Xenopus tropicalis: one gene and its partner. The protein of the gene in region 2 interacts with the protein of the main gene of each other region in a pairwise test. Links are inferred from orthologs where the notes say so. Each region holds a gene or a part of one and is shown on either strand. Other genes may lie near its edges.

What was found. The genes of interacting proteins can lie anywhere in the genome.
Region 1: the proteins of meox2 (region 2) and pacsin2 interact in binary tests that used the Homo sapiens proteins (3 or more experiments, as listed by UniProt). The two-hybrid records come from large-scale screens. The link is inferred for Xenopus tropicalis from reciprocal best matches to the Homo sapiens genes MEOX2 and PACSIN2.

The regions. Positions count from the first base shown.
Region 1 is NC_030679.2:3,829,149-3,832,903, forward strand, and holds the start of pacsin2 (protein kinase C and casein kinase substrate in neurons protein 2), read left to right. Parts: upstream 1-1,351; 5' UTR 1,352-1,393; intron 1,394-3,755.
Region 2 is NC_030682.2:36,890,936-36,894,644, reverse strand, and holds the start of meox2 (homeobox protein MOX-2), read left to right. Parts: upstream 1-756; 5' UTR 757-906; coding exon 907-1,411; intron 1,412-3,709. UniProt on the Homo sapiens protein: Mesodermal transcription factor that plays a key role in somitogenesis and somitogenesis and limb muscle differentiation. Required during limb development for normal appendicular muscle formation and for the normal regulation of myogenic genes.

The DNA.
Region 1 (3,755 bases), on a different chromosome or scaffold from region 2:
TACACTCCCCCGTGCAAAGGAAGCAGAGACAGTCACACGGGTACCGGGAAATACACTCCCCCGTGCAAAGGAAGCAGAGACAGTCACACGGGTACCGGGAAATACACTCCCCCGTGCAAAGGAAGCAGAGACAGTCACACGGGTACCGGGAAATACACTCCCCCGTGCAAAGGAAGCAGAGACAGTCACACGGGTACCGGGAAATACACTCCCCGTGCACAGGAAGCAGAGACAGTCCACACGGGTACCGGGAAATACACTCCCCCGTGCAAAGGAAGCATAGACAGTCACACGGGTACCGGGAAATACACTCCCCCGTGCAAAGGAAGCAGAGACAGTCACACGGGTACGGGAAATACACTCCCCGTGCAAAGGAAGCAGAGACAGTCACACGGGTACCGGGAAATACACTCCCCCGTGCAAAGGAAGCAGAGACAGTCACACGGGTACCGGGAAATACACTCCCCCGTGCAAAGGAAGCAGAGACAGTCACACGGGTACCGGGAAATACACTCCCCCGTGCAAAGGAAGCAGAGACAGTCACACGGGTATTGGGAAATACACTCCCCCGTGCAAAGGAAGCAGAGACAGTCACACGGGTACCGGGAAATACACTCCCCCGTGCAAGGAAGCAGAGACAGTCACACGGTACGGGAATACCCCCGGGGGGGGAAATACACTCCCCCGTGCAAAGGAAGCAGAGACAGTCACACGGGGTACCGGGAAATACACTCCCCCGTGCAAAGGAAGCAGAGACAGTCACACGGGTACCGGGAAATACACTCCCCCGTGCAAAGGAAGCAGAGACAGTCACATGGGTACCGGGAAATACACTCCCCCGTGCAAAGGAAGCAGAGACAGTCACACGGGTACCGGGAAATACACTCCCCCGTGCAAAGGAAGCAGAGACAGTCACAGGGTTACCGGGAGATACACTCCCACAATCCTTTACTTCCCAAAGCACACTTTTATTTATAATATAACACAATAAACCTTAAACATTTGAATTTTGTATATTTTAAACCAAGGTATTCAGTAATCTGCCCTTCCTACTAGGGAGCTTTTACACAGATTTCCCATAAGTATTCGGACACTACAGTGGTTCTGCTTGATTCCCAGCCCCACAGGGGCAGCACGGCGCTACTATTGCCTACAGATTATGAGCAACTGCGGTCACGTGCGTTCCAAGCCTCGATGTCGCCAACAATTTCTCTCTCAGGGCCTGGATGCGAAAGCGAGGCTTGGAATACAGGCTTCCCAGGCGGCCAATCAGCTTGCAGCAGTCGTGGTATGTGGGTGTGAGGGAGGGGAGTGCCTGGGAGGCAGCGGGAGCTCGATCCTGACAGGGAACCGCGGACACGGGAGGGAGAAGCCTCGGTTACCGGGACGGAAGGTACGTGCGTTTGGTCACGGAGTGTGGGAGATATGGGGGAGCCCCGGGTGTAATGGCGGATGGATATAGCTGTGTATGTAGTCCCGCTGTGTGCGCTGCCCTGGATGTGGGTTAGTGTCAGAGGTGCAAGGGTTATACGTTATAGGCGGGGGCGGGGCTATATGTTGGGGTAAGAGGGTAAGTATTGGGGTACGGGGTAAGTATTGGGGTACAGGGTAAGAGGTGACTGGGAGAATTAGTTATATATATTTGATATGTGTGTGTGTAATATAAATATATATATATATCACAGGGTTATACTGTTTGTGTTATAGGGGCTGCTGGGAGTTGTATTGTGAGGGAGGGGGGCTGTATATGTAGTTTGGGGGGGCAGGAAGGTAGGCACTAAGTATTATAAATGGGGTGACCTGGACTTGTGTCGGGGGGCCCCTTCTGCACTTTTTCATCATGGAACGGTAACCCCCGAAACCGCTTTCACTTTCCGTCATGTTTGTACTTCAGAGCAAATCTTTCCCTTTATAATGGACTGCTCCTTACCTGTAAACCTAAGACTATCAGCCTGGGGGGGGGTGTTGTTCATATAGAGCTCACTATCAGCGCTCTTGTGATTGCAGAGAGGAGGCGGGGGTAGGAGTGTCACATTTGCCCCTATAGCCCGGGTGCTGGCACCTATATCAGGGGCGCTGCCAATGCTGGGGTAGTGTAATTACTTACCCCCCCAGAGAAGGGGCGGAGGGGGGGGGAGAGACGTTTCCGTGCGGTTCTGGCACGCCTTTACTCTCACTTCCATAAAATGTTTTTCTTTTATCTAATTGGCTCTCTTTGAACTACATCTCCCAGCATGCAACTGTAGCTGAACTTCAACTCCCAGCATGCAAGCTGCTCCCGTCTTGGGGGGGGCTAATGATGTTTACATTGCCGGTGAGTGGGCTAATGAGTGCTAGGGGTGGGCTACGGAATTCGGGCATTCCCCGAGTGGGACTTGGCCACCTCTGTGTGACGGAGCCTCGGGGAGAATCCCCACTCCCAGCAACGCTGTAAATTGTGATTCATGTTAAATAGCAACCGCTCTCTCCCCGGCTGTGACGCAATCGCCTTGGTATGTAATACAGAGTGTTCCCTCTGCCTGACCCCCACCGTGCACAGTAAGGATCGCTCAGCTACCCCCATGCTGTCAGATAGTAGAATTGATGGTATTGGTGGAAACTGGGGGGCCCTAAATGGGATTTAACGTTGGCACCCACGGTTGCCATACGACCCGGCAGATATTCGGTCTTCGTTTTTCATTCCTAGTAGTTTTCAATTTTTGTTCAGCAGTTTGGCGTTTCATCAGCTATCTGGTTGCTAGGGTCCAAATGACCTTAGCAACAGGAGGGCGGTTGGGATGAGAGACGGGAATATGAACAGGGGAGGGGCTGAACAGAAAGATAAGGAATAAAAAGTAACAATAACAATAAAACTGTAGCCTCACAGAGCAATAGGGTTTGGCTGCCGGGGTCAGTGACCCCCCCATTTGAATGAGTTAGAAGAGGAAGGCAAATAATTAATGAAGACCAATTGAAAAGTTGCGTAGAATTGGCCATTCTGTGACAAACTAAACATTAACACAAAGTTGAACCACCCCATTAAATTTCAGTTGGTCTTCATTTTTTTTTATTTATCATTTTTAATGTATTAGCCTTCCTCTTCTGACTCTTTCTGGCTTTAAAAAGGTGGGGGTCACTAACGCCCCCCCCCTTCTACAATGACCCAGTGGGGCACCTAGCAGTACAGGGAGACGCCTATGATACACGCGTGTGCAAATCAACAGGACAAGGTTTCCAAGAGGAACTGAAAGACTGAACCTCCGGGACTTCCTGCAGGTATGAGCTCATATACAGAGGTTCTGCTTGGTTCCATATAGCGCTGGTTCTGCTACTGGGCATTGGGCTTTATAGTGCAGTCCGTATGGTTTCGGGCCGGATGCAGGCTCGTTATATATACATATTTGACCCAATGCAGTAGAGGCGGGCTTACACGGGCAGATTTCAGCTGCCAATTCGGATCCTTTATACTAATTGGTCAACTTATCTGCCCATCTATGGGCACCCCTGATTGGCCTTCCTGGCCTAAAATTGGGCAGCTTTGGTATCAGGGGCCACACTGGCTCGTTGATGTGTTCCTCAGTCCAACATGTACCCGTTAATCATTTGGCCCGCCCAAGGTCCGCTCAATGTATGAGGCCATGACCAATCAGATTGGACATGTATGGGGCCCCCAACGGGCCTCCCTGACACATATCTGGCCTCAAATTGGGCAGCTCTCCATTGGGCAGCTTTGATATCAGGGCCCTCATTGGCTCATTGATGTGTTCCTCAGTCCA
Region 2 (3,709 bases):
ATCTGAAAAACACAGGTGTGACTTTTAGTTGGGAAAACACACATGTTTCCTATTTACTAAGAGGATGTTACATCTTCCTATTTCTGAAAACAATTTGAGGAGAACATTACTCAGGTTCTGCGTTACTCTCGCCAAAAGAGAACAATGTATACTGCTTACTTCCCGCTGTATAAAACTGCACATATATGTCCTATGTTGGTAAAAAGTTATAACCTAGTGCAGCTGGCAGGGGATTCTGGGAGTTATAGATTCAGTAACAGTAGGTTAATGGTGCCTTAGTTAAAGCTATTTATATTGTATCACATTCACTACACAGAACACTAAAAAAGAAATAAAATGGCATGTATTGCTTGGCATGGCACAATACTTTCCAATTGATTTCTTACGGTAGAATGAGCTTTTTGTCATTGTGTCAGTATATGAATTACTAAGACCTGCGTGCAGTTTCTCTATATCCATATTAGCAATGGGCAGAACCGGTTTAAGTTGTACATAGACAGTGCAGTGATGCTGTCGCAACTTGGAAGGATCTGTGAGTGCTAAAGTTTTGGAGAGAGTTTGTGGTCAGTACTGTGTTGCTAAGCCAGCCCCCAGCTCACATTACACACTATTTATATCCTCTCTTAGCTGTTCCCCCATTAAAGCAGCTCCTTGGGACCACCTTCTGTTGGCTTTAACCTCTCCTACTCTTGACATCTGAGCAGCTCTGCAAAAGCTCATCTTGGTCAGAGCAAACTGTTTAAGCACAGGAGACTGGCCACCAGGCTGAAGACCTGGATTATCTGATCTGTACTGAAAGTGTGCCGTTACTGTTTGGGAAAAATATCATTTTACAGTGAAAAGTGACAGCGTTGTGGAGTTTAATCCTGCCAGAATCTCAAGCCTGCAACTTGAAACTTGTATGCCATGGAACACACACTGTTTGGCTGCCTGCGCAGCCCCCATGCCACCTCTCAGGGCTTACACCCCTTTGCCCAGTCTTCTCTTGCCCTCCATGGAAGATCCGACCACATGTCCTATCCTGATTTATCCTCTTCTTCGTCCTCTTGCATATTAACTGGCTATCCCAATGAGGAGGGCATGTTTGGGAGCCAGCATCACAGAGGACATCATCACCATCATCACCATCATCATCATCACCAGCAACAACAGCACCAGACCTTGCAATCAAATTGGCACATTCCTCAGATGTCATCTCCTCCTGCCTCCACCAGACATAGCCTTTGCCTTCAGCAGGAATCTGGACCTCCAGATCTAAGTGGCAGCCCCTCTATTTTGTGTTCAAACACATCCAGCCTGGGCACTAACAGCTCAACGGGTGCAGCTTGTGTGACAGGGGACTATGGCAGACAGACCCTCTCCCCGGCAGAAGCAGAAAAGAGGACTGGCAAAAGAAAAAGTGACAGTTCAGGTAAGGATATTTGTGTTTACAATGTCTGAGCATGCAGCAAAAAGGAAATATATATTAGCTGGTAATTGTGATGCCTTGTATTGGATTAGCACTGCATTGCAGAAAGTGGCACAGCAGTGGTGCAAACCTAAGCAACTGTATGCCTAGGATATGCCATTAGCATCCATGCATACGGCAGCTTCTTCTGACAGTTCAAATTGAGCAGAGAGGGGTTTTTCTGTTGCTCAAAGCTTTGTGTTCGTACTCACTGGCAAATGCATTTAGCAGTGTAAAAAGTACTAGTTAGACACTTGCTAACTAGCATGTATACAATATTTCAGACATGTGCAGCTTGCTAACACTATAGGAATGTTATAAACGCTATGCAAGACATATTATAAGTAAAAAGTTTCTATTTAAACAGGAAATACTTGTATATTACATTACAATACGAACGGGCAGAAATAGTTCCCTCTTTTCAAGTCTTTCCTGGTGTATTCCTATGTAACAATCCTGTCAGTGTCAAAAGAATATCAAATTCCTTTAATAAGCAAGATTGAATCCAAGTATCATTTTTTCATTTGAAATTACAATCTATTTATTGACACAATCCTTCAGAAACCCGTGCTGCACTCCATCCTTATTCAGCCTGATCCAGTATCACTGCAGTATTATAACAAGAAATGGAGATCACTTGTTGACTCCTGTTTCTCTCAGCAGCCAAACTATTACAAATGCAATTTTATGGCAGATAAAAAGACAATTGGCACATTTAGACTGCCCATTCCCCCTTCCTGCAGGAATAAAATAGAGAGATTTCATCCCAGGGAGGGCAGCCTTTTTTGCCCGTCCCAGCAACTGCAGAAAGGTGTTAATTATATTATCAGCTAACACCTCCTCTGGGAAAGCCATATACACAGTCTGCATCAAATTAAGAGTTTAATTAACAAAGTGCAAAGTGATGGGTAATATTTGCTTTAATTCAGTCACATAAGCCACTTCAGTGAAATCAGTTCTTTTGAGCCTATTACATCACTTTCACTGATCAGAATCTCTGGCAGACCATAATAATATATACATTTTTAATCCGCTGCATATCAATAGTGATATGAATAACTACCAATCAATATCTAGAACTGAAAAAGTCAAATGATTCATAACAGACACCTTCCGTCATACCTGAAATACCCCAAACAGACATGAACACTAAAATCCTCTTTTCCATTTCCATTTAAAATGGCAAATTCTAGTAAAAGAAATACAATATACGTGATACTTGCATATCAGTAGCATAAGAAATGAACATAGTATATCACACTGAATATAAACATAACTGAAATATGTATTATATGTTCCAGTTCATTGGTGATTTCGATGCTTATCATATATATATTTATATATATAAAGTGGAGTAGCTTTATCCTGCTATTAGATGATGGCGAGAGATAAGTGCAACTATATTAACTCACTAATCAGACAAGTGGTCAGTGGAATAAGTGAAAGCGAAGTCATAATTGGAGATGACCTGCTTACCATTCCTAATTAAGTCTTATGAGATATTCTGATTGGGATGAATGGTTATTCAATAATTATAAGACATGAATGACAAATGAGTAATTCGTGACATATGTTTGACCTTATTTTTTCTTCCAGGCTTGGGGCTTTAAACAAGACAACTTTTCAAAAGTTATTATTCCAGTGTTTAATTAGTCTGTCTAGGCTTGCAATGCTTTTAAACCTCTCCCCCCCCTTCTGTTTTGTCTGTTTAGGGAAGATAACATTGGCAAGCGTTTAAAGAAAATAAATTACCAGGAAATCTATACCTAATCACAGAGCAAAAATGACAAACTAGCTTCATTAACCACGGTGTATCCAATAACTGGGTCCTGGCGAATTTGAGAAACTGCTGTTCTTTCTTTTAGAGTCACTTCACAAACAATTGTTTTAAGGGCATTTGGTTTCTGGAGAAATGAAAGGATGGCTTTGTGAAACAGTATACCTATCCAAATTATACAATCTAGAGTCAAAGTTAATGGCCCGGACCGTGTCCTATCCATTATATGTGCATATTTCGACATAGAAAAATCTAAACTATGGGCGTCTAGGGGTTGCTGAACTGCAATCATCAGCCTTTAGCCTTAGGCTGTGACGAGAATGCTGTAGTTTATCAAGAGCAGGAGGGCCCCAGGTTGGATGTCAGTCCTGTAACACTATTTTCCTGTATCTTTTAAGCCTCGTCTATCACTCAAGTTACCTTTTGTGGGGTGGGGGGGGGGGGGATTTGATGAGAATTTCACAAGCGATGTTAGAAAGCTGGTA